Xenopus tropicalis: one gene and its partners. The main gene of each other region encodes a partner of the protein of the gene in region 3 in a complex. Links are inferred from orthologs where the notes say so. Each region holds a gene or a part of one and is shown on either strand. Other genes may lie near its edges. The genes, in order: ccnc, med13l, med26, med21, med8, med12 and med18.

The links.
Region 1: med26 (region 3) and ccnc share a complex: the UniProt entries of both Homo sapiens proteins name them as parts of the mediator complex. The link is inferred for Xenopus tropicalis from reciprocal best matches to the Homo sapiens genes MED26 and CCNC.
Region 2: med26 (region 3) and med13l share a complex: the UniProt entries of both Homo sapiens proteins name them as parts of the mediator complex. The link is inferred for Xenopus tropicalis from reciprocal best matches to the Homo sapiens genes MED26 and MED13L.
Region 4: the proteins of med26 (region 3) and med21 are in contact, whole or in part, in a cryo-EM structure (PDB 7EMF), measured with the Homo sapiens proteins. The link is inferred for Xenopus tropicalis from reciprocal best matches to the Homo sapiens genes MED26 and MED21. Residues at the interface, in NP_004822.2 of Homo sapiens: Ser481, Arg482, Asn483, Glu484, Ile485, Ser488, Tyr489, Ser491, Arg492, Ser495, Leu496, Ser498, Ser499, Ser500, Leu528, His529, Ser535, Pro537, Thr538, Asp539, Leu540, Pro541, Gln549, Asp551, Leu552, Ile555, Gln556, Trp560, Gly562, Val563; in NP_004255.2 of Homo sapiens: Ala2, Asp3, Arg4, Leu5, Gln7, Asp10, Ser14, Gln18, Asn21, Gly24, Val25, Gln28, Cys29, Tyr54, Leu57, Phe58, Leu61, Arg64, Thr65, Lys67, Asp68, Val71, Leu72, Asp74, Ser75, Leu76, Pro77, Ser78, Glu79, Glu80.
Region 5: med26 (region 3) and med8 share a complex: the UniProt entries of both Homo sapiens proteins name them as parts of the mediator complex. The link is inferred for Xenopus tropicalis from reciprocal best matches to the Homo sapiens genes MED26 and MED8.
Region 6: med26 (region 3) and med12 share a complex: the UniProt entries of both Homo sapiens proteins name them as parts of the mediator complex. The link is inferred for Xenopus tropicalis from reciprocal best matches to the Homo sapiens genes MED26 and MED12.
Region 7: med26 (region 3) and med18 share a complex: the UniProt entries of both Homo sapiens proteins name them as parts of the mediator complex. The link is inferred for Xenopus tropicalis from reciprocal best matches to the Homo sapiens genes MED26 and MED18.

What each region holds. Positions count from the first base shown.
Region 1 is NC_030681.2:82,038,208-82,041,707, forward strand, and holds part of ccnc (cyclin-C), read left to right. Parts: intron 1-2,480; coding exon 2,481-2,516; intron 2,517-3,433; coding exon 3,434-3,500. UniProt on the Homo sapiens protein: Component of the Mediator complex, a coactivator involved in regulated gene transcription of nearly all RNA polymerase II-dependent genes.
Region 2 is NC_030677.2:145,408,500-145,411,999, reverse strand, and holds part of med13l (mediator of RNA polymerase II transcription subunit 13-like), read right to left. Parts: intron 2,354-3,500; coding exon 2,017-2,353; intron 692-2,016; coding exon 472-691; intron 1-471. UniProt on the Homo sapiens protein: Component of the Mediator complex, a coactivator involved in the regulated transcription of nearly all RNA polymerase II-dependent genes.
Region 3 is NC_030677.2:112,239,190-112,243,339, reverse strand, and holds the start of med26 (mediator of RNA polymerase II transcription subunit 26), read right to left. Parts: upstream 2,801-4,150; 5' UTR 2,656-2,800; coding exon 2,584-2,655; intron 1-2,583. UniProt on the Homo sapiens protein: Component of the Mediator complex, a coactivator involved in the regulated transcription of nearly all RNA polymerase II-dependent genes.
Region 4 is NC_030679.2:3,066,067-3,070,178, reverse strand, and holds the start of med21 (mediator of RNA polymerase II transcription subunit 21), read right to left. Parts: upstream 2,801-4,112; 5' UTR 2,775-2,800; coding exon 2,733-2,774; intron 1,181-2,732; coding exon 1,066-1,180; intron 1-1,065. UniProt on the Homo sapiens protein: Component of the Mediator complex, a coactivator involved in the regulated transcription of nearly all RNA polymerase II-dependent genes.
Region 5 is NC_030680.2:88,535,262-88,539,204, forward strand, and holds the start of med8 (mediator of RNA polymerase II transcription subunit 8), read right to left. Parts: upstream 2,801-3,943; 5' UTR 2,742-2,800; coding exon 2,736-2,741; intron 1-2,735. Other genes in the region: KICSTOR complex protein SZT2, read left to right, coding at 2,954-2,977. UniProt on the Homo sapiens protein: Component of the Mediator complex, a coactivator involved in the regulated transcription of nearly all RNA polymerase II-dependent genes.
Region 6 is NC_030684.2:44,426,791-44,429,808, forward strand, and holds the end of med12 (mediator of RNA polymerase II transcription subunit 12), read left to right. Parts: coding exon 1-133; intron 134-304; coding exon 305-386; intron 387-546; coding exon 547-590; 3' UTR 591-2,518; downstream 2,519-3,018. UniProt on the Homo sapiens protein: Component of the Mediator complex, a coactivator involved in the regulated transcription of nearly all RNA polymerase II-dependent genes.
Region 7 is NC_030678.2:78,266,422-78,270,550, reverse strand, and holds the start of med18 (mediator of RNA polymerase II transcription subunit 18), read right to left. Parts: upstream 2,801-4,129; 5' UTR 2,647-2,800; exon of another isoform or gene 2,641-2,646; intron 1,692-2,640; 5' UTR 1,675-1,691; coding exon 1,602-1,674; intron 1-1,601. UniProt on the Homo sapiens protein: Component of the Mediator complex, a coactivator involved in the regulated transcription of nearly all RNA polymerase II-dependent genes.

The DNA of each region.
Region 1 (3,500 bases), on a different chromosome or scaffold from region 3:
CAGTTGCTTTGAGCCTTCCAATAATGCCAGCAGTGAGTTGGCAGGGACCTTCCTCTATACTTGCCCCCAGTAATCCAATATGACGGTGATTTAGAGCTTCTATTCACCACCAAGAGCCACTAAATTAAAAATAAGACAAGATATGATGTACACTGGACTTGCAAATGTGTGAATCGTTTTGAAATTTCCATATATGCGTGCATACATATGAACTAAAATGTGATCTGCTTTTCGTGCTAGTACTAAAACTAGATCATGAGAACCTAATTAAACATATGAGTGAAAAATAATGCTTGCTCTTTAATTGAGGAGAATAATTCAAAGTTAATTATTTGTGTGGTAAGATTGTGAACCTTTGTTTTCAGTAACTGCTGTACCCACTTGGGCAGCAATAACACACACAACACTCCAAATTAATCAAATAATGTACATTTTTAAACATACTACAGGTATAGGACCCATTATCCAGAATGCTCGGGACCAAGGGTATTCCAGATAAGGGGTCTTTCCGTGATTTGGGTCTCAATACCTTAAGTCTACTAAAAAAAACAATAAAACATTCATTAAACCCAATAGGATTAATTTGCATCCAATAAGGATTAACTATATCAAATACAATCTTAAAAATCTGAATTATTTGATTAAAATGGAGTCTATGGGAGACGGGCTTTCCGTGATTTGGAGCTGTCTGGATAATGGGTTTCCCATACCTGTACTAACATTTCTTATTCATTTGGGTTTGAGAGAACACTTTGGAGTTATTTCTACACAAACATTAATACATGCCCAGTTATATTTTTGTCTGTAATGTATCTTTGTATCTGTTACTGAAATCATCAAAATGATTTGGTCTGAATAAGAAAATGTATGTATGATAACTTTGTATTTCCAAGCCTTTTCAGAATGCTTTTTGTAGCTGCTTGTGAAATGTTTTAGATGTACAGGCATGCTTTTCCATAATGTGTTACAGTTTTGAAATAGCTTTGCCAGTAGAGCACTCCATAGCTTTTAACACTTTTAAATCCTATTATAAAATTTAGATTGCAATAATGGTTTGTGCATAAGGAATACATAATGAGGTGGAATAGTTAGCTTTTTGCTAGGATTATTTTACTAGAGGCTTTTCACAAGTATGAGCTTTTGGGGGACATTAAAGGATTCTTGCAGTTTGTAATGTGTTGCCACATTGTCCATCCCTGATACCCCATTCCTTACATAAATTATTCGATTAACTAAATAGTTGTGGAAAGTAATGGCTGCGAGCCAAATGGACAAGCTGCTTTTTCTACCTACTGTCTCATTCAAATGCACCTAATAGATGGTATTTCCTGCCCTTTCTAGCTTTGCTTTGCCCCAGAACCTTTTTGTATAACCTTAATGGGTCAGCCATGACCGTTTGTGTATTCTGCCTTTATCCATTATAATATTGATAGAATTAACCGTGGGATTGACTTTTTATGGACTGCCAGTTACATATCATGTCTTCATGAATATATTATACTAGCCTGGTTTGTAATGAAATACATTTTTCTAATTTGCAATTTTACTTGTTGCCTGTTATTTATCTAAATGTCACTATGCATTGTGTAAACCCCAATTCTAGGGGCAGATATAAAACTTCTGGTTTATGTTTTATCAACAGTATGCAGCAGCTGCTTTGTATTCAGTTGAATGGCAAGCTGTGTTTGTGACACTCTTGTGCCATATGAGGTGGGATTGCTCAGAAATATGAAAATCAATTTGTACATGGTAGCCACTTGCCAAGACATGTTTCTGGCAGCACCTTTCCCATTAAAGTTAATGAGATGCAAAAGCAGATTTGAATGCAGATCTTTCTGAGGACAGCAGAAATCAAATTCCCTCCAATGACAGAATTTAAAGGAACAGTAACACCAAAAAATGAAAGTGTATAAAAGTAATAACAATATAATGTACTGTTGCCCTGCATTGCTACAACTGGTGTGTTTGCCTCAGAAAGACTACTATAGTTTGTATAAGTTAGCTGCTGTGTAGCCATGGGGGCAGCCATTCAAAGGAGAAAAGGCACAGGTTACTTAGCAGATAACAGATAAATCCCCATTATATGGGGCTTATCTACTAGTTATCTGCTATGTAACCTGTGCCTTTTCTCCTTTTTTCCAGCTTGAATGGGTGCCCCCATGGCTACACAGCAGCTTATTCATATTGTAGCTTTTCTGTAGCAAAAACACCAGTTTCTTTGCAGAGCAACAGCACATTATATTTTAATTACTTTAAAACACTTTAATTTTTTGATGTTACTGTTCCTTTAAGACAATCTTTTGTCTTTCAGCCTACTTGAACTGTAAAGATATAGCAAGCAGCATCTCAGTAGGGTCACATCTGACTGCAAGTCACCCTAACCTCAGGATCTGTTTATGCACAGCTCGTGGATATCTACCTGGTTAGGGGCATTATTTTGTATTCATTGATTAATATCTGAATGATTTTGTTTTTTGCAGATATTGGAATGTGAATTCTACCTATTAGAATTAATGGTGAGTAAAGTGGTTTAATTGTCCATAAAAATATAGGTCTGCTTTCTTGCTCCTCTGTTTTGGTTTTATTCTGAAAGTATAGTTTAGGCAAGTAAAACACTAAGGGGCACATTTACTAACCCACGAACTGGCCAAATGCGTCCGATTGCGTTTTTTTCGTAATGATCGGTATTTTGCGATTTTTTTCGGAACATTTTCGCGACTTTTTCTTTACCAATACGATTTGTGCGAAAAAACGCGAGTTTTTCGTAGACATTCCGAAAGTTGCGCAAAATCTTGCGATTTTTCGTAGCGTTAAAACTTGCGCGAAAAGTCGCAATTTTTTCGTAGTGTTAAAACTTGCGCGAAATATCGCGCCTTTTAAGTTTTAACGCTACGGAAAAGGCGCAACTTTTCGCGCAAGTTTTACCGCTACGAAAAAATCGCAAGATTTTGCGCAACTTTCGGAATGGCTACGAAAAACTCGCGTTTTTTCGCGCAAATCGTATTGGTAAGGAAAAAGTCGTGATAATTTCCGTAAAGTCGCCGAAAAAATCGCAAAAAATACGAAAAAGTCGCAAAATGTTCGTTTTCCAATTGGAATTTTTCCAATTCGAATTTGTGTCTTAGTAAATCAGCCCCTAATACTTCTGTTTTTTTGCATGATATAGTGTGTGGGTTGTTATTTTTAAAAAAAGAAAAGGCAGTGTCTGTTTCTTGATTTACGTTACACTTTAAAAAAAAAAATAAAAAATATTTTTTAATACAGTAAAGACTGTTAAGTCTTTCAGTGCACAGATGGAACAGTCATTACTAGTCTTTACTTGTGCATCTGGAGCACACAATGGATTCAGGGAGGTGTTTGTGAATTGCATATGATTACATGAAGTAAACATTAACATTGCACATTGGGCTAATATTTTATCCCTTGTTTACAGGATTGTTGCTTGATAGTATATCATCCCTATAGACCCTTGCTTCAGTACGTGCAGGACATGGGACAGG
Region 2 (3,500 bases), about 33 Mb from region 3:
TACAAGGATGCTAAACATTTATGGTAGACCCCCAAGTGAATTCAGTCAGTAAGTTTTTTCCCCAGGCTAGTGCTCTTTTTAGGAAAAATAAGAGAAGCACCAGCCCAGGGAAAAAAGTAGCAAAGCTCCACCATTTTACTTGCTATTCCCAGGTGTCCCTGGCACAAACTTAGACTCATGCATGAGCAGTAGAGTACAATACGAACAGTTTTACTCGACACATCTGCGTGTCTATGTCTGCTGACAGTTGCCTGGGAAAATAGTAAAATGTCGACAAAGTTGCCGTACAATATGGGTGCCACTGTATACAGATCTTTTAAATAATAATCATTTCTTTGCCACCACCCCCCTATATTATAAGTGTCACTGCAAGCAAGCGCGATTCAAGTCTTGAGAAAAGTCTTATAAAAGCTCTATGTGAAAAGCACATAAAGGTTATGGTAACACACATAAAAAACAAACAATGTTTACCTGAAGTATGCAAGCTGATCGAAGTGGCTCTGGTAAACTCTCCAGCATGTCAGTAAAACATCTGATCAGGCCAAGCATCCAGTAGTTCCCAGGGTGGCAGTCTTCATCCACTGTGTATGTAAATGGATCCACCATGTATATAACTACTGTTGGACAAGAACTGAGTGCTCCAGCTGGTTCTGGTTCTGTGGGAATGCCAATTTTCTCCCGCTCAGTGGCACTGTTAATGTAAAAGAGACAATACAAGCTGTATATTATATGTTTAAAAATCCTTCTAAATTAAACAAAGCAAAATATCCTTTGAATCATAAAAATATTTGACAGGATTTTACTAATATTATTATTAAAAAAGTCTATTTACAGTGCATATAAAAGAAAAAATAAGCAATACAAAAATACTAAAAACGAATACATGTATGTATGTATAACTTTATTTATAAAGACCCAAAAGGGTACGCAGCGCTGTACAATCTTACAATACACAGAATTACACAGAAGGAGGACAAGTGATATAATAAATAAATACAATAAATATATAAATGCACAGGGAATAAGTGCCATGTGGTATGAGACACAGTAGGAAGGAGGTACCTGCCCCGTAGAGCTTACAATCTAAGTGGTTGGGTAACATACAAGCACAAATTGGAAGGTAAGAGTGCACCAGGTATGGGCATTTTCCCTTAAGCGCAGGACTAGGCAAAATGTTTTAGTGCTCCAGAAGGTAACAGCTGAGCTTTTTCTTAAAGAGAGTGGGTGAGAGTTCCCTATGGAGGGATTCAGGGATAGAGTTCCAGAGGTAAGGAGCAGCAAGACAGAAAGGTTTAAGACGAGAGAGCGCAGTGGGTGTGAATGGTGTAAAAAGACGGAGGCTCTGAGAGGAGCGGAGGTGACGACCAGGAACATGCAGGGAGACCAGTGAAGAAATGTAGCGAGGAGCAAAGGAGTGAAGGGCTTTGAATGTTAGGATTTTGTAAGCAATCCTTTGCTTAACAGGCAGCCATGCAAGAGAGCTTAAGTGAGGCTGAACAGGTTCCCTCTTTGGAGAGAGCAGAAGGATCCTGGCAGCAGAGTTTAAGATTGATTGCAGGGGAGAGAGGTGGGAGTCTGGGAGGCAAGTTAGTAGGAGATTGCAGTAATCTAAGCGGGAAAGGATAAGGGCAATTTCTGCTGAAACATGCTACTGTCTTTGGAGTCATGTGGGATACTGCATAGAAAGCCTTAAAAGCTTTTTGCTGCTACTGCTAATCAGGCCCAAAGTGAAGACACATAAACATGCATATATATGTCAGCAATAATTTAGTGATGCCTAATGTGTATGAATCTCTAGGTACAGGAGTGAATTGTCTGACTTACTGACTGCAGTGGAAATGTCAGTGTTCTCTCACCCAGTTTCAAAAGTACATTTTTACAGTTCTTACAAAGCTTCTTTTTTTGTTTTCCATATCCCCTTCTAAGAACTGACTACCAGGTTTTTCATATAACTGCTGTTGTGTTGGGCAAGAAGTCAAATATTTAATTTCATTTTAATACAGCATCTGTACTTACTTTTCTGGGGTCTCTTGCTGCATGGACTGCTGGCTAGGCTCTGGGTCTCCTGTGGTCTGGTTTCCTAATGGTCGCTCCACAATACTTGAAGTGTTCTGTGATGGGCAGTTATTGAACCCAGTGGGTACTGTGCTGTTTCCAGCAGGAAGAGATGTGGAGGAGGATAGAGGTGGTGGTGGTAAAGGAGTAGTACTTGTGCCATTAGGAGTGGTGTTAAAAAGAACACCAGTAGGACAAGACGGCACAGCTGGGCTTGAGCTGGTTTGTACCGTAGGTGGCTGGTTCTTAGGAGGTAATAACAGGCTGCTGTCTAGTTGCAATGTGGATAAGTAAGGAGCTAAAACAGAAAAAGACAATGGGCATTAGCAAAACTTACACATCCATGTCATAACATCAATGTAAGGTTCCAGCTAATCCCTTTTGTACAGCGCATATAATAAACAGCAATTGTGACTTTTTATTTTCCTCTCGTGTTTATTAAAAGAGTTATAGTAACTACAAATTACAACTATGGGATCTATTATTCAGAAACCCATTATCCAAAACGCTGAAAAAGAAGCAATGAATTTGCCCACAGTACTTTATTTTAACAAACTACAAACGGTCCACTTTTGCTTAATGTGCTAGTTCACAATAGTATAACAAATGGCATAATGTTAAGGAGTCAGCCCACCGACAAAAATTTTTTTTACATTATCACATGGTGGAGTGAGAGTGGTTCACACCTTTAGTCAAACTCAACCCCCTTTCCCCTCCATCACCTGCTGATGGTGAGCGGCAAAAGGTCAGAAATATCCTTTCTAAATATTAGAGAAAAAAGGTGATCGGTATTCTGTGGCATTATATTAACAAACACATATACTGTTACAAGGTGCAGGTATGGGATCAGAGTTATCTGGAAACCTGTTATTCAGAAAGCTCAGATTTACGGGAAGGCAGTCTCCCATAGACTCCATTTTAAGCAAATAGTTAAAAATTTTTAATGTACAGTACCTTGTACTTGATAGCGACTAATTATTAATCCATATTGGTGGGTTTAAATAATGTTTAAATTATTTTTTTAGTACAAATCTAAGTTACAGAAAGACCCCTTATGCTGAAAACCCCAGGTCCCAAGCATTCTGGATAACCGGTCCCAAAACTGTAATTGTATTTGAATCACCTCACAAGTGCTTGTCAGGTTTTTGTTGCCTATATATAACATGGCACTCAAATTGCCTGAAACCAGCCTCTGCCCCACACCTCTAAAAAAAAATAAATAACCTGGACCATTATTAAAACAAAGATCAAGCTGGTTTTTACAGCCCCACACCTCTAAAAAAATAAATAACCTGGACCATTATTAAAACAAAGATCAAGCTGGTTTTTACAGTGGGTTGGAAAACAGCGAGAGAACCTCACAAACTGTTTTATCAAAAAAATAAAGAATAATGGACAAAAACTAAATCTGGTGCAGTATGCAGATGGGAAGTTATCTGGCTCAC
Region 3 (4,150 bases):
GCTCCTAAACTAAAAATGTAATAACTAAAGAACTACAAATAAAAAAAAAAAATTAAGACCAATTGCAAATTGTCTCAGAATATCACTCTACATCATATTAAAAGTTAACTTAACTGTGAAAAACCCCTTTAAGAAACAGCATAAAAGCATAACCCATACCATAGGTATGAACAGGTCACCTAGGTGCCTCATAAGCTATAAGGAAAAAAAAAAGTAAGCCATAAGCAATGCCTCTATACAGAAAAAAATCCAAACACAAAACAGCATGCTTGTTCTCAAAAAGCATGAACAAGTAACATCTCATCTTTCAGTTATTCTATGGGTTTAAAATAAAAAAAAAAAACAAAAAAAACTCTTAACTGTGACAGTTTATAATAATTTTATGGTGTAGTGTACAGTGTCTTTCGGATTAACAGATTCTTCATTTAGAACCCGTTATTCTAAAACATGTTGTGCACTACACAATAACATCATATGAGATTCATAAGGAGTTCTCCAGTGAAAATGCAAAAACATTAAAAGGGTCAAAGTAGCAACCAGGGTTAAAAATTGCTGAACAATTCTGCAGGCTAACAAACTGATTACAATAGGGCTACTACTATACCTAAAGCCAAAGGTGTAGCGATTTACTGATTTTTTTCCCGAACACTCCCAAAAGTGGTTACTGAAAGAAAGGAACAACACTTACAAGTACCTTCCTCTAATGCATCTATCAAAGAGCCCTAGCTCTGTACTGCTCAGCACCTTTAGTTGTTATTTTTCACACCTGTGTAATACAGCGCAATAAATATTTAACTATTTGTGAGATATTAAAAAATTACAAATCAATTCTAATATAAAGCATACCCAACCTAAACAATATATGCTTTTCTGGAAACCAGGATCCTTTATCACAGTTGCCTAAATCTATTTTTACATGTGCTTTTGTTTACCTACAGCTTAAAAATTCCCATGCAGACACAGGCCTTTCAAAAGTACAGCTACCAAATACAGACTTTCAGAAGGTATGTGTCAGCATTAAAGACACAAATTAATTCAGTATGTACATACCCATGTGTCCCTCACCCCAAAATAACTTTGAGATGCTTCTGGCATTAAAAGGTCCAAATCCTTTCTAAATGTACAAGCTGTATATCTCCAGTGATACAGGAAATACACATGTATTTAAAGCTATAACTGAAAGTAGGTTTTCAGCAATAGATTATTATCAATTTAATAGTAGTGTTCACTCTTTATAGTAAAGGCTTCAGTAAAAAAAACCCTCAAACTTCAGAAGTTGTTTACAAAGAGATTATGCTTTATAGATACATGTTAATAATGGTTACAAATCTTATCCTGCAATGTACTTCAAACTTTTGCTACATAAGTGCTTTGCAGAATTAAACTCTATAGGTGCCGACGCATCCTGCCAATGCTAAAATAAGTATCAAGAGAAGATAGAAAGTGCAGTAGATTATATACTGTAAACAACAGTGAAAGCTTTTACAAATTTGAGACATACCAATAAATTGTATTGCTGACTGCAAATTACTTGGCCTTCTAATTTGTGGGAGTTGTTACACCTCAAATATAACAGCACATACAACAACAGGTCTGTATATAATGCAGTTATAAATGCCATACACTTCAGTCAAAGATAAATCGGTCACATAAGGACCCATGACAAATCTCTAAATGAAATACAATAAATAGCATTCTGAACTTTCCCTGTTCTGTTTCTTTGAGAACAGATCTCTCAGTTTAACAAGCACACCGCCTGCCCACACCAGAGTAATGCCAACAACATGAGATAAATGCACCCTGTCCCCACAAGCACACATCTGCACTGCCAGGAACATAAGAATATGCCAAAGGAGTGTGTTTTGGCAGTCCCACCGACTCGGGCATCGCAAGCCTAGCCAGCAGTCTGACATGTGCCGGTGCCTACAAGGGCAGTCTGCTAACTTAAGGCCGCGACTAGGCCCTATCCCCGACCTCGCCTACAAAGTAAGGACGGATGTGCTCGAATATACAGAGTCGGATTAAGAACGCGAGATGGCCTAAAACAAGCGCCAGGGGTCCCTGCTACAAAGGACTGCAACCCCAGATAAACGCCGGGACCCATAATCCTCCATTCCCCAGTTGCCCACTTCCTGCTCAGCTCTCAGGCTTTATACTCGTCTCTCACCTACCCACAGAGAAGGGGCTCTCAACTAGCTGTTCCTATCGAGCTCTGCCTTACCTATAGCACTCCACTGTGGGCTTCTCAGCTCCCGGCATGGTCAGTGCCACTGCCTCCACCACCCTAAGGCTCTTGCACGTTCTGGCTCCAGGGGACTCGGTCTTTCCCAGCCTCATGTGACCCTCAACTAATAACCTGGAGCCAAAAAGTGCATTCCAGAGTAACGACACCTCTCTTTTCCCCAGCCCTTAGCCACCAACCACCCATAATCAAGGGATAGTGTCACAGCAGCCTCCAGTCACTCTCCGTCAGCCCTTTCCCGGTCGTCCCTAGTCTAGCTTCTCACTGCTGGTTCAGAGGGTTTCATCAAGTGCCGAAACCCCGTGTTGCGCTCTTTCCACTCCCTGTCCCCCCTGACTCACGTTGCTTTGCGTATCGATGGCCTGCAGCAGCCTCTCCCTGATCTCCCGCGGGGTTACCGGAGCGGCTGTCATGGCCTCAGTCCGGGGATCACTGCGGAGGGCGGCGCGGCATGTTCCCTGGGAGGAAGGAACACGAGTTCCCGGGCGCAGGGAGAGCAGCGAAGAAGCGAGAAAGCCGGAGACTCCCAGACGCGTCTCTCCCGATGGAGTCGAGCGACCGGGAGTCCCGAGGCACGCCGGGAAGTCCGCCGCTGCACGCTTTGTGACGTGACGGTAGCGGCGTCCTGGCGTCACAGTCCCCCTAGGTAGCACGTACGTCACGCACGAACGTCTCTCATCTTCCCCCTCAGTAGGAAGTGTCAGACACGACTTAAAGCTGTCATTCGTCTTCGGTATCCATGGAGAGAGGGGGCAGCCCGTGCGCCTGCTAGCCTTTAGGCACCTGAGTTGTTACTAGGCAAGATGCATCACTTAAAATAAACACTGTTGTCTACCCTGCAACTTTTGTGCAGTAGACTATAAGCCTAGCTGGAAGGAGGGGCTTATTTAACTACATCACCTCAGTCAGCGACACTGAAACAGAGCGACCCGTGGGTCGTTATGAACTACTATGGAACTCTTTGTGGAATTCTGGGAGTTGTAGTTCATAAGTCATACGAGTAAGTTTGCAGGAAAAAGAATCGAACGTTTGTTTAGAAAAGTTAGCTAGAAGTGCTACACATATTGCCATATATTCAAGTGAAATCAGGTTACACTTATTTCAGCCCTGCAACCTGCATATGTTAGAATTGTCTGGGTTTTGTTTTATTTAGTTTGTCTTGTAACCTTATCTCAGAGACAAAGGTTAGATTCAGAAAATATGGAGAGGCAGACGTTCTACGTAGCCCTCTAAAACATATTCATTACCAGTTTTTTCATTCTCTACTGAGTTCCAAACTGTCTCTGGAACCTATATCAGTACAAGAAATATTAGTAGCTGCACACAAGCTAAATATCACCATGTAGAGTGCCATGCATTGCCAGTTGTTGTGTAAAGCTGTATAACACTGGACAGCAGGGAGCTGGAAATGGGTTCTCTGAAATGATGAATCATCTTCACATATGGCAGTCAAGCAGTCATTTCTGGGGTGGTGGGTTCCAGACAACTTAGTTTGGTGTAGGACTAGTGATCAGGGGATAATTATTGTTTTGGGTTAGTATTCTTGGTTTCAACAAGGAGACATTAGCGCTATAGTGTACAATGGTATTCGTGGATATCGTTGATGCACAGGTGGTCAAAATAAAATTGGTAAGCTTCCCATCTGCATAAAACTTGGTTTTTGTGTTTGGGTCTTAAAAACTTATTGATGTATGAATATTGAAAAAATGCAATATATTAAGGTAGAACTCACCAACAGTTTCTTGAGGTCCGGGTGCTCAAGCCCCAGACCTTCAGCTCAGGGGAAGTGATAGACACACTTGGATTTCAAATAAGGCTGGCATAAGACTGGACTGTTGAAGCAGATGGTGATGCAGTTAAAATGATGAATTTATGTAGTAACAAGACCTCTCAAAAGGACACGTCTTA
Region 4 (4,112 bases), on a different chromosome or scaffold from region 3:
TGAACTTCCCCTACAGAGGCCCATAGCAACAGACTGGGAAACGAGTATGAAGGCACTAAAGCAGAACAATCGATATAATGTTTTGATATAAATATAGGGGGGAGTGTATTTCCTGGTACCCATGTGACTGTCTCTGCTTCCTGTGCACGGGGGAGTGTATTTCCCGGTACCCATGTGACTGTCTCTGCTTCCTGTGCACGGGGGAGTGTATTTCCTGGTACCCATGTGACTGTCTCTGCTTCCTGTGCACGGGGGAGTGTATTTCCTGGTACCCATGTGACTGTCTCTGCTTCCTGTGCACGGGGGAGTGTATTTCCTGGTACCCGTGTGACTGTCTCTGCTTCCTGTGCACGGGGGAATGTGTTTCCCGGTACCCATGTGACTGTCTCTGCTTCCTGTGCACGGGGGAGTGTATTTCCTGGTACCCATGTGACTGTCTCTGCTTCCTGTGCACGGGGGAATGTGTTTCCCGGTACCCATGTGACTGTCTCTGCTTCCTGTGCACGGGGGAGTGTATTTCCTGGTACCCGTGTGACTGTCTCTGCTTCCTGTGCACGGGGGAGTGTATTTCCTGGTACCCATGTGACTGTCTCTGCTTCCTGTGCACGGGGGAGTGTATTTCCTGGTACCCGTGTGACTGTCTCTGCTTCCTGTGCACGGGGGAATGTGTTTCCCGGTACCCATGTGACTGTCTCTGCTTCCTGTGCACGGGGGAGTGTATTTCCCGGTACCCATGTGACTGTCTCTGCTTCCTTTGCACGGGGGAGTGTATTTCCCGGTACCTGTGTGACTGTCTCTGCTTCCTTTGCACGGGGGAGTGTATTTCCTGGTACCCGTGTGACTGTCTCTGCTTCCTGTGCACGGGGGAGTGTATTTCCCGGTACTCCTACCCCGTGTCTATAAACGCATTGGCTGATACACACAGAGCAGTGACAGACAGTTTCACACCCTTTGTGTGCTGGTCTGGTAGTCAGTGCTGGGGGTGTGTCAGTGCGCAGTGGGCGTGGTTACAATGGCATTTGGGTGGGTAACGGGGCAGTTTGGGGGCCACTCGCAGTCTCTCACCTTCAGTGGGGTTGGGCGGTTGGTCCTTGTTGATGCCCGTCTGGATGTTGCTGAAGGAGGCGGGGGGAGCGCACTGCTGGAGGACCCCGATGGCATTGCAGAACTGATCGGCCAGCTGGAGAGACAAAGGGGAGGGGTTACAACTCCATTCATCCAATGCCCCCCTGGCACTGAGGGAGTTAATAGGCTGGTATTAAACTGACCTGCTACATTGTGTCAGGAGTCAGAACCTGGGGGTGGAGCTGGGCACTGCTGCCAATAGCAAGTACTTATCTGTACCGGGATATATATATAGGGATTTACGGGGCTATATATGGGATATATGGGGCTATATATAGGGATATACGGGGCTATATATAGGGATATACGGGGCTATATATAGGGATATACGGGGCTATATATAGGGATATACGGGGATATATATGGGATATACGGGGATATATATGGGATATACGGGGATATATATAGGGATATACGGGGATATATATGGGATATACGGGGATATATGGGATATACGGGGATATATGGGATATACGGGGATATATATGGGATATACGGGGATATATGGGATATACGGGGATATATATGGGATATACGGGGATATATATGGGATATACGGGGATATATATGGGATATACGGGGATATATATATGGGATATACGGGGATATATATATGGGATATACGGGGATATATATGGGATATACGGGGATATATATGGGATATACGGGGATATATGGGATATACGGGGATATATGGGATATACGGGGATATATATGGGATATACGGGGATATATATGGGATATACGGGGATATATGGGATATACGGGGATATATGGGATATACGGGGATATATATGGGATATACGGGGATATATATAGGGATATACGGGGATATATATGGGATATACGGGGATATATGGGATATACGGGGATATATGGGATATACGGGGATATATGGGATATACGGGGATATATGGGATATACGGGGATATATATAGGGATATACGGGGATATATATAGGGATATACAGGGGGATATATAGGATATACAGGGGGATGTGGGATATACGGGGATATATATGGGATATACAGGGGGATGTGGGATATACGGGGCTATATATGGGATATACGGGGATATATAGGATGTACGGGGATATATATGGGATATACAGGGGGATATATGGGATATACGGGGATATATATGGGATATACAGGGGGATATATAGGATGTACGGGGATATATATGGGATATACAGGGGGATATATAGGATGTACGGGGATATATATGGGATATACAGGGATATATATGGGATATACAGGGGGATATATATAGGGATATACGGGGATATATATGGGATATACAGGGGGATATATGGGATATACGGGGATATATATGGGATATACAGGGATATATATGGGATATACGGGGATATATATGGGATGGGGCGGCGATATAATCCGCATCAGCTGAGGGAACCCTCATAGACATGGGGTTCTGGGTAATAAGATCCATTGGACACAGTGTGGGGGCTGCGAGCAATGAATGGAATAAACCATTAGTTACAATGTGACTATAAAGCCGAGATGGGACCCAACTGCGGGCAGCGAGAGGATGTATTTCCCTTCCCCACAAACCCCACAAACCCCACACACAGATAAAGCGCTCACCGAATTCAGCGCGTCCTGGAGCTGCGTCAGCCGGTCCGCCATCTTTCCAGCTGGCAAAGCCGAACCAGCCGCCCATACCTTCAGCGCCGCTTCCTATTGGCTAACTGGTACAATAAAGGTTTCTATTGGCTAAGGGTCACTGCGGCGTTTTCTCAATAGGAGGAACGAGAAACGCCTATTTCTATTGGCCAGCCTCAGTAGAGGCGGGGTTGTAACGGCGGAAAGGAGACTGCGCATGTGTACTTCTACCTACACTGGACGTTCCCTGCCAACTTGCTAAATAGCGTTCAGTGTGATACCTCTTTTGGTCGCTAGAGGGCGATGCTGCCTATTGGACAATTGTATTCAGGTTTTATATTCCATTTATGATGGAAGGGGGGGGGGGGGCCATAATCCTCCATGGGCTACACTTTTGCTGTGGAGTTGCTGCTACAGAGTCGCCAGTCTGTCTATGTTGTTTCAGGATAAATAGAATCAAGAAGAATTTAAAGAGACAGTGTTATTGGTGCCTGTGGGATTGCTGGGATTGCTCTCTAACCCTGATCCTGTTACTGGGGGGTCTCAGAGAGCGAGTAAATAAAGATAATTCCATAGAGATACAGTGGCCCTGGGGCCCCTGGTTAGCACATAAGGGCCCTAAGAAATTGGGACCCAAATTGAATATGACTTTCCCTTATTATCTGTATTGAAAAGCCTGTGTGGGCAGTGCCTGCTTAGACTTTCTTTTTTGTTATTGTGTGCCCAGAACATTCCTTCTCTGTATATTTGTATTTATACATATGGGTAGGAGGTGCCATAGTGTTTCCCTTAGACAGTACAGTATGGGGGTACAGCTTATTGTGTGCCCAGAACATTCCTTCTCTGTATATTTGTATTTATACATATGGGTAGGAGGTGCCATAGTGTTTCCCTTAGACAGTACAGTATGGGGGTACAGCTTATTGTGTGCCCAGAACATTCCTTCTCTGTATATTTGTATTTATACATATGGGTAGGGGGTGCCATAGTGTTTCCCTTAGACAGTACAGTATGGGGGTACAGCTTATTGTGTGCCCAGAACATTCCTTCTCTGTATATTTGTATTTATACATATGGGTAGGGGGTGCCATAGTGTTTCCCTTAGACAGTACAGTATGGGGGTACAGCTTATTGTGTGCCCAGAACATTCCCTCTCTGTATATTTGTATTTATACATATGGGTAGGGGGTGCCATAGTGTTTCCCTTAGACAGTACAGTATGGGGGTACAGCTTATTGTGTGCCCAGAACATTCCCTCTCTGTATATTTGTATTTATACATATGGGTAGGGGGTGCCATGGTGTTTCCCTTAGACAGTACAGTATGGGGGTACAGCTTATTGTGTGCCCAGAACATTCCTTC
Region 5 (3,943 bases), on a different chromosome or scaffold from region 3:
CTTAATTTTCCAAAGTTGCATGAAGTTTCCTGCAGGAGATTTAACCTCAGGCAACTAATCTCCCCGTGGGCCTTCATCCTAAGGTTATTGGCCCACGGGGAGATTAGTCATCCGCGATAAATCTCTGCTACTGCAACTAATCTGCCCAAAAAGCCTTTCCACCAGCAATAAAGTGAATTGCTGGTGGAAAGGCCTATGCATTGCTTTGTTTTTTTTGAAGTTGTGCAAACTTGCCTGCAGGGCTGATTATTAAATTCTGTTGTTAGCTGCACTGGTTTCAGAGCTGCCATGTAGTAATATAAGGGTATTACTATTACCCTTATATCTTGACATTTATATTCTCTATATACAGAATATTGAGTCAGCATCTAAACTCAGTAATGGACAGCAGCACATGTGCTGGGAATCAGCAGAAAAGAAGATGCAATTGCAAAAAATGTTTATGGCAGTTTTACTGTCCATATTAATCATAATTAAGAACTTCTTATGTAAGCTGCCATATGTCTACCACTAACTTTGCAGAAGGATGTAAGCTTAATGGCAGCAGTAGTATTAAAGATTGTCCATGTGATTGGTTATTGTTATAAGTAATGGAAAGCAGCAGAGCAGGAAAATTAATTTGTGCAATTTTGCAATATTTGGTGCAAATTAATGGCAACTTCTGACACAGACCTTAAGTGAAATTTGGTGGACTGACTCAAATAGTTGATGGCCCAATGCGAAAAGTACTGAAGCGCAACAATGTAATAGATTGTTGGTACAGGTATCGGACCCTTATCCAGAAACCCATTATCCAGAAAGTTCAGAATTATGGAAAGCCCATCTCCCATAGACTACATTGTAATCAAATAATTCACATAATTCCTTTTTCTCTGTAATAAAACAAACTGTACCTTTTACTTGATTCCAACTAAGATATAATTAATCCGTATTGGAGGCAAAACAATCCTACTGGGTTTAATTACTGTTTAAATAATTTTTTTAGTAGACTTAAGGTAGGAGATTCAAATTACGGAAAGACCCCCTATCCGGAAAACCCCAGGTCCCAAGCATTCTGGATAATGGGTCCCATACCTGTATAGGTAACAGCAGTCAGCATGTCAGAAGAAAAAGAGAAGTGAAAATTAAACTGAATGAAATTAGATGTCAGTTTGATGCTGTTAGTGATAAATTTCTGTTAGAAGAAGTAGAAATGAGCAGACTAAGAGAAAGAATATGTACACATTTCCATATCTACCATAGGTCTGCTGCAAATTTGACAGTGAAATTGCATGAGAACTGGGAGAGTAACAAAGAAATGGGTCCAATTCATAACAGCAGTATAGGGGGTGGGAGGAGGATAAGGTTGGACTCTCGCCTAATCATTATTATAAATTTATTTTTCCTTTTGTTCTGAGCCTGATGTCTGGGTTTATTTTCTGGGATTGTCCATTTTTAAGTCTAGTTGAATTGTTGAATGTGTTGGCTTTCAGTCCATGTAGTTCATGGGGACCATATCTTTTTCGTATGAATAAACCTTTTTTTAACCTTTGTTTTTATGCCTTTTTTAACCTCTGGCAAATGTTTAAGCTGTGAAGCACCCATCCAAAAAGAATATTATATGGTAGTTTGCACTCTTAATTATTGAAAGCAACAGGAGTGTAGAAAGGATCTAAGGTTTTTTTTTTAAATTATTATAAGCAGGAGAAGGTGTTGCATCAGTTGGATTGTTAGTGCATTTTTAAATAGCTGCCATAGATTTGTAGTTCTACAGTGGAATTGCAAAAGAACAGAGTGAATTTAGTGAAATTAGCAGAGAGTTCCAGTAGTCCAGGCGAGATATTATAAGAGAGTGAATAAGAATTTTGGCAGCATCTTGGGTGATCAATGATTGTATTTTGGAACTATTTCTTAGGTGAAAGTGACATGATTTGATAAGTGACTGGATTTCAAATGTAATTTCAGGATCACTGCCTTCTCCACCAAATAACAGACTATATCTTTCTGTAAAATACTAAGGGGCACATTTACTTTCCCATGAACGGGCCGAATGCGTCCGATTGCGTTTTTTTCGTAATGATCGGTATTTGGCGATTTTTCGGAAAATTATCGCAACTTTTTCATTGCCATTCCGAATGTTGCGCAAAATCTGGCGATTTTTTCGTAGCGTTAAAACTTACGCGAAAAGTCGCGCTTTTTTTGTAGCCATTCCGAAAGTTGCGCAAAATGTTGCGATTTTTTCGTAGCGTTCGGATTCATTCAAGCTTCAGTATGGGCCAGATTGGAGCTGCAGGGAGCCATTGAGTCCTATGGGAGGCTTCCAAAATCATGCTAAGTCTGAAAGTTTCGGCCGCCGCTTCCGAGCGCTCAATACGAAAAAGTCGCGACAAGATACGAGCGCATCGTAATGGCTACGAAAAACTCGCAAATCGTATTGGTAACGAAAAAGTCGCGACAATTTCCGAAAAGTCGTAAAGGCGCCGAAAAAAACCGCAAAAAATACGAAAAAGTTGCAAAATGTTCGTTTTCCAATCGGAATTTTTCCAATTCGGATTCGAATTCGTGGGTTAGTAAATCAGCCCCTAAATGTCAGTTGTACTACTCATTGCAGACACAAAAGGTCTACTTTACGGACGGAGTAGCGTTATTTGATAAGAACAGCTACTAAATATTTACATACAAATTAGCGAAAACAATTCCACTCCGCCTTTGCACTAACATAAACATTAATGAAACACGTCTTATGTCAATCTTACCTGCATTTTCACGTTTTCCGCCAAATCCCTCTCCTTAGGGCTATAAAGATTCCGGTCACTTCTTCCACGTTCAGACGGAGCACTTCCGGGTAAGAGCTCGCCTCTGGAAAAAAAAGAGTAATTCCGGGTCAGAGGGGGTAGGACTTGTGTACTCCAGTCTCGAATGCCTATCCGCCCCCCAGACCCGAAGACAGGGGTGGGGGGAAACTTCTGGGGACATGGCAGAAAAAGGAGATACAGAGGTACAAAGAGGGGATTGTGTACATATTAAGTACATGCGAAAGTATACGCCGCTATTTGTAGCCGGTCTGTTGTAGCCACTCCTTCCTTAAAGTGACGGCCACACATTACACGTCTGTACCTGAGTAAGCCCCCTTTGGCTGATTCCGAACATCCTAGGGATTATTAAACTGTGGCTTGCTAGCAGTTACACTATAAGTCACTGCACCAAGCTATGGGAACATGCATAGAGCTGCTGTTCCGAGAAAAGCAGAGTTTTTATTGTAGTTTGGAGAAATCAGTCATATGTTGTCTCAGGACATCCTGTTGTGTGGCTTCTGCTTGCTCTTGGAGCAGGCAATTTGTCCCCACTTGAGATGTGCGACCCTTAAGTTTCTTATGAACCAAATGGATGTTTTGCCGAACTTCCTATGCTCTTAATGAAATATCTGTATTGTGTCATGCAAATACTAAGGCAGATAACACATGCATGTTTATATATACAACTCATGTGGAAGCATTTTACCAACATTTGATCATTTTTTTTTGCTGTGGAAATCAAAGTAAAGCCGGCTATACGCCATAAAATCTGCTTGTTTGCCAAGGTTGTCAAACCAGCGTATCTTTCCCCCAATATGCCCAGCTAAGGTGAGTGATATTGGGCTAATCCAGTTGATTGGCCACAGGCAATCAGCTGACGCAGTCCTTGAATCAAACCTGACTATCAATGTCTGGTGGATTTTCTGGGAGATATCAGTTGGGTAGGCCCAATGGAAGGCCCCATGGCTGAGCTGCCGAATCAGTCTGAAGGGCCTAAATCTGCAGTTTAAGGGCTGTGACAGACGGGGAGATTAGTCGCTGCATGACAAATCTCCCCGATATGCCTTCCCACTGGCTAGAATGTAAATCGCTGATGGGATGGCATATGCGGCGCCAAAATCAGCGAAGTTTCCTCTCAATGCAACTTCAACAATTTTGGCAAATCGCTG
Region 6 (3,018 bases), on a different chromosome or scaffold from region 3:
GCAACAGCAGCAGCAGAATCAGGCACCACCTCAGCAACAAGCCCCTCCACAACCACCTCCCCAGCAGGTCCCCACAGTCCCACAGCCACAAACGCAAGGACAGCCACCAGGGCTTGGCATGCAGACACTGCAAGTAAGTGTGGGGGTTGGCTCTGTGCTGTCTGTGTCCACTGAATGGAGGTACTTGCATGAATTACTGAACTTCACTGGCGACTTTATTCCCATTGGCTTCCTGTCTTTCCTCACAGATCTAAGTTTTACACATTTTTAGTTTAACCTTTTTCCTCACAAATCTCTCTCTCAGTTTCAGAGACAGGGTTTACAGCAGACCCAGCAACAACAGCAAACGGCAGCTCTGGTCCGCCAGCTCCAGCAGCAACTGTCCAGTAAGTAAATCTCCAAGCTGAGGCACCATAATCTACACACAATGGGCAACCCTCACTATAGAACTTACCTTGCCGCCATTGCAGTTCCAAAGCCAGTGAAGAAACAAACACCCACAAAGTCTGTCTTTATCTGTACCCATTAATGCTGCTTCTTTTCCAGGCACACAGCCACAACAAAACTCCAATCCGTTTGGCCGCTACTGAAAGGTCGTTCCTCCCTGTGATTTTGTACCTCTTTTGGATGAATTCTCTCGGCTCTCTCCAGATTGATGAGACAGAAAGGCAGCACTTTAGAAGATTTTATTTAATTCAAGGAGCGGAATGCGTTTCTGGTTCCTGTTAGAAGTGATCGGTGTTACCAGATTTTCTGTGACGTAAAAAAAAAAAGGAATTAATTGTGGATCTGAATATTGCATATGTCCAAGTCACAGAACGAGGGACGTGTATATCTTGTATCCTCCCCCCTAGTGAATTATGGGGGTTCTTATGTCTTGTGAACATTTATCTTTTAAAATGTTTTTAATATTTTGTTAACCAAATGATTAAATTGTCATTTTGTAAAGTATTTATATGACTGTGCAATCTCAGCTATCAAACAGATACCTCTGAGGGCTGAATCTGATCTCTGACCATGTCTAGTATGTACTGAGTGATTTGTGCCAGCAGGTGGTATCTGGTCCTACTGTGGCTAGCAGAAACCTTTACTGCAAAAGAAAGCCATAGGCTTTTACAATGTTACATTTGGCGTTTTCTCATCATGTGACTGACTTGTGCATTCTGTATATGAGTGACACTTTCTTGCCAGCTACAGATTGCAACTGCACTTCTAGTCATTCCTCATACACTATAGTGTGTAGTATACCTCTGTCTTATACACCCAGAACATGAGGTTTTTTTCTTATAGGTCAGGTGTGATAACGCTCCATGTGTATCTGTAGTGTGCACTGGTCTCTGTGCGGTACTCACAAGTCTAGAGTATCACAGACATAAGCTTTAGATTTCAGTTTGAGGTCTGTGTACAGATGTATTCTGTGTGTAATTCAGTGTTGCAACTGCATAAAGAAAAAATGCCGACATCATAACTGGACTGTGGACAATACAAACAGTAAAGCTGTGTTTTTTAGATTCAAGTACTCGTTTGAGGACCAGCATCAGGCCAAGGCCTCCTTAGCTCATCATGAGGTTAAAGATGAATAGGAACATTCATTTTTCCAGTCTCCTTGATGGGGTATCCAAGCAGATAAATAAGCCTTTACTCCAAATCTCACCTTAAAGGAGAAGAAAAGGTTAAATCACTGGGGGGAGGGGGTGGGGAATCAATAGGCACCCTCCAGGGATTATAAAATCATAACCCCAGCCCCCAGGGCTCCTGCTAGTAGTTTTGAGTGAGCACCACTGAGTGATTGCATTCCACTTCTTCAGTGGCCCCGGGCTGGCACTGCCCAGTACTGTAAAAAACAAAAAACCGCTTTTTGCTTACAGTTAGGCTTTAGCCTGACCAGAGAGAAGAGGGATAAATATCGCTCTGTGGTGCATGCTCAGAAGTACCCTGGGCTGGTGCAGCTTTCTTCTAACAGGAGGCACCAACCTGGGGTATCAGGTAAGTGGTTATAATAACCCCCCCCCCTCCCTGGGATTAAACTGGCCTTCATCCTGGACTTTCAAGTCTTTCTAAAATGGCAAATAAGCACTGACCATAAATCCTAGCCATACTAGCCTTCAGGCTGGGCCTCCTGTTATGTTTCCAGCCCCCAGTTTGGATTTATATGCACAAAATTAATCTCCAGTTAGAAATTACTTTGTCCTGAGAGCCCAGTATTACTGCTCTAATGTAGATGTTTGGTTTGCTATCCAAAAGACCTTGCTATTGTGTCCTTGTACCTGAGACCCATTAACATGCTATTGCCCTCAAGGTTAATTTTCTGTTGCTTTCCATCATCATCCTTGTTCAAACTCGCAATAACAATGCAGTCATTGTGTCCATTCCAATGCCATTCTGCCATAACCTCTTTCACCAACATATATTAATTGGCCTTCTGTTACTGTGTACCATGCAGCATCATTATATGTCAAGCTAATATTTTGCTTTATGCAGTCATTTCTCAGGAGCAATAAAGGAAACATATCTCAGGCTATCTCTACTTTCATTATATGTCGTCTTCATATCTAGGAAGGATTTGTGAAGCTCATGTTTGCCACTCTGTTCACGTTAATGAATTTTCTGAGGATGTCCTGCCTTACACATTACTTGATTATTTTCTCATTGCAGATATATTTCAAAAGAGTAACAAACCATTAATCTCTCAGTAGCTACAGGGCATCCATGCTAAGTATCATACCTCTGGTTTTCTTTTACTTTCTAAAATCATGCCATTTGTGGATATAAGAATGTTTTCATGCACTGAAGCATTTTCATCAGCAGATACAATAGAAGAGGCAGCCAATTACAGAACCAACTCTGTAGTAGTACAGATGGCTCAGCTCCAATAAATAATTAGTGGCTGCCAAAGGATGTGGTAGTTTAATATGTAAAGCTAATGTGAATAAGGCCCAGGGCCTAATGGTGTATACACCCTTAAGTACTTTGAGATCTTCCCAGACTCCCTTTCATCTGGTATGGTTCTAGTAGTTT
Region 7 (4,129 bases), on a different chromosome or scaffold from region 3:
TTGAATGGCTGCTCCCATGGCTACACAGCAGCTTATTTATATAAACTATAGGAGCGTTCTGTAGCAAATACACCGGTTTTACCAGCGCAGGGCAACAGTACATTACATTTCAATTACTTTAAAACACTTTCATATTTTGGTGTTACTGTTCCTTTAAGCAACAAACTCCTTGCAGTACACATATTAGAAGCAGCAAGGCTTCTTTTAGCTCAAAAATGGAAAACCGATCTTATTCCCTCAATGCTGGAACTAAAAAACTTTATCAACCTCTCACAAACCCTTGAATATCACAATGCAATGGGACTCATGGAAGAACTTTACTGAGGCTGATATCCAGGAATTATAGCTAATAATTTATATTATTTGCTCTTCATATTTTTTTTTCTTTCTTCTTTCTCCTTTCTCTTTCCCCTGTTCTCTTCCTTTTCTTTCTTCCTACTTCACTTCCTTCTCTCTCTATGCTCTCTCTTCCTGTGATTCACGTACAGACACATTCAGTATTTGAGATACATATAGATATAATGCAAATCTTGAGAGTTAAACTTTTAGATGCAAAAAAATTGTCAATTAAAAAAGAAAAAAATTAAGGAATACAACCAATAACCAATACAAGAGGTAAAACAGGGTCCTGCTCAAAAGAGTTTACTGTAAAGTCATAGGATTTTATCAGTGCATGTCAAGGCACCAGTGGTTACCACTGGTGCCTTTCAGCACAGATGCCATGAGTTTGATTTTTATCTAGGCACTATCTAACAGGAATATCTATGCATGTCTGCATGTTTTTATTTTTCTCGAAAAACATACAGATAAACCAAATTTTAATTTAATCAAACCTTTGTTGTGTGAAGTTGATTGAGACTAGTGTTGCACAGACCAGCCTAAAATGTCTGGACCCAATGGCTGGGCATGATCGGGCTGGTGCAACACTTTTCTTGTTCTAGTCCTGACTCTACCCATGTACCACCCTGTGATGTCAGCATGTTGCAGCACTCCACTAGCTGGCTACCATCCTATTTATATCTTTATTCTGCCAAACCCCTCCACTCCAGTGATGCCAGGCATGTGTGGGTAAGGCATCACTAATTACGACCCTATAATAGCAGCTCCAATGGTGAGCAGAGGCTTTTGTAAATGACTAATAATTAGTGCTTCATCAGGTTGGCATTATATAAACATAATAAACAGAAAATAAATGAACTGCAGGACTGGCATTACTTGGGGCTAAAAAGAAATGGAATGATATGCCGAGACAGAAGGCTATTTTCTGTAAACGTGACCAAATACTATTTACATTTTTTGATAGCTATAAAATTATATACAGAACACCAGGATCTTCTGCATAGCTGTATGCGTGTGTCACACTTGGGGGTAAGGGCGGGGCACCAGGGCTTGTGCCGGCTGAGGCAGGGAAGACCGGGCCGTGACGTGACCAAATGCTATTTACATTTTTTGACAGCTATAAAATTATATACAGTGACTACTAGAACCATGTTTTCGTATACCTTGCTAAACAAACAGGGGCCTAAACAGACTTTTTGGTTAGAGGGGACAAACTAATACCATTAATACAGTAACAGTACAGTTTGTTAGGCTGTTCTTACCTTGCAGTAAGTACTCCATCATGTTAATAGTTCCTCCAGATACAGGCATTGTTGTGACTGGGGGAGCCTCCATTGCAAAATGTTAGTTCTCTAAATAAACAAAACAAATATATTATACACAATATTCATATGTTTACAATTGTAGTCAAGACAAGGCTGAATCTCCACTAATACTGCACTGCTTATGTTCTACTAGAACCCCCCTCCAGCCTGAACTTGTCCTGAATAAAAACAGAAACAATTGCATTCACTTTGCCAGTACAATGCTTCAGATTATTTTCCTACTTTCCTAGGTATGGTTTAATTTAGGGGTGCACCTAATTCAGGATTTGGTGAAGATTCTGCCTTTTTCAGCAGGGTTCAGCCAAATCCAAGCTTCAGGCCAAACTATATCCAAATCCTTAAAATCAGGTTACTTTTGCCTAATCTTTCACAAAGAGTTCAACCCCGGTGATTCATCCTTTCCTTCTCCTTTAACAATACCTGACATAGCACTATGTGCACAAGCCTCACATAGACATAAATGGGGGTCATCCCACTTTTAGATCTGTTAAGTAGAGTACTACCAGGCTAGCAAAATGTTGTTTTATTCCTGGGATGTTGCTCCCAGTGGCCTCAAAGGTGTTTATTTTTGAATTCCTGGCTTGGAGGCAAGTTATGGTTAAAAAAACAGGTGCACTGCCAAACAGAGCCTCAAATTAGCCAGTCCACATAGGGCCTACCAAATAGCCAATCACAGCCCATATTTGGCACCCCATGAACATTCACATGCGTGTGTTCCTCCCTAACTCTTTTTACCTTTCTATGTGGTTCATGCATAATAAGGTTTGGGGATCCCAACGTTATTCCAAAGTTATTAAGCAGGAAGTAAAACAAAGACTGTAAGGCCAGTCATTTCCTACTGAAAAGACAGCAATCCTAGGTGTTTTGTGTGTACATTTTTATGTAATAACTGTATATGCAGAGCTGTGTTTTCTTTTTACAATTCATTAACAATAAAGACACAGAGGTACAAACACGGCAGCTGATAAATACATACACTTACTAAAACAAAGTGCCCGACAAAATTTTGTAAATAAGTGAATGGAACCGGGATGCGACGGGATCAATTACTTCATTTAGAGCACAGCCAGCAAGCTCAAGCAGCTAATAAGTTAAGTTCCGGTGCCTAAGTGCACGGCTAACCCGCCATAAAACAACTCTCCCTCAAGTCCTCAGGAGGCTGGCTCCAGAACACCAGGAGCTTTTGCATTTGCGTACTGCGTGCGTGTGACGCACTTGGGGTGAGGGCGGGGCACCAGGGTGCCTGCTGAGGCACGGAAGACTGGGCCGTGACGTAGCACGCTTGTATGTGCCGTAAAGGAGAGGACGCTCGAAATAGAAGGTATTAACGCAGTCGTGGGGGGAGGGGGGTATTTTGCCCCTTATTTCGTAGGAAGCCAATACGATCTGCCAAAACCAAAAATTCCCCTACTGGTGGGTGATTAGATTACTGAAAATTCAGGACCACGTCTAATAAATACATGTTGCAGGGCAGCACTGATTGCATTTAAAATCAATACAGCCCTGCTAGCTGGATTTTTTAGACATGTCCCTAAATTTAAAGTAATCGGGCCACCCTACTACTGGCAACCATATATCTTAGTACAAATCATAGATCTTTACTTGCTCTTAAACCTGTCTTGGCGCAATTACAAATATGTGATAACATTGGTTAATGCTAGCACTGGTGGCTTAATTTTGACTCAATTATAACTTGCAAAAAATATGCAAGTCTGTCCACTTCTTGCTCAGAACAGATGACAATGGTAAAGCTTGAATACTGATTTTTGTCTCTTCAGGACCTGCCCTGTTTGACTCGGACAGCTCACTTTTTGGGAGGACTGTTTGGGGCAAAACTCCCTGCCCAGTTTTTCAAATTAGGGAAACAGGGCAAGACTCTCTTAGACTGACAGTTGCCAGTGGCCGATCACCCGTCATAACCCCACCCCTGACTTGATTGACCATGCCTCCATCACTCACCTGATTTATTGAGAAATTCCACCAAAACCATACTAGTCCCGCCCATCAGTTCCACTTCCTGCTGGCTGAATTCTCTGGATGAGCTGGGGAGCCGGCGGCCCTCCGTACACTACACTGTAGGATAGGAACCAATCAGCAGCTAGGCTGACCTGATAGGGAACTGAAGCCTGTCTTTGCTTGTGTGAGTGCAGGGTTGTGATTGGCTCTCCCCCTCCTACTGTGCTTCTGGAAGGGACCATTAGGACACGCCCACTCTTCATTTCACACTGGACGGAGAAGTGATACAATCTATAGGGAGCTCCAATAAAGGGGCCATTTTTACAGATAGGATTAATTTTTAGCACAAAGTGAAACCAGCACCTTATATTATTTATAATTGCCTACAAAATAAGTGTTTTTCTCATTTATCCAATATGTCTCCTTTAAAGGCACATATATTCATTGCTACAGAGCTGTGGTCACCTTTGGCTTTTCGAAACCCCCAAAACGTAATATACAACAATTCT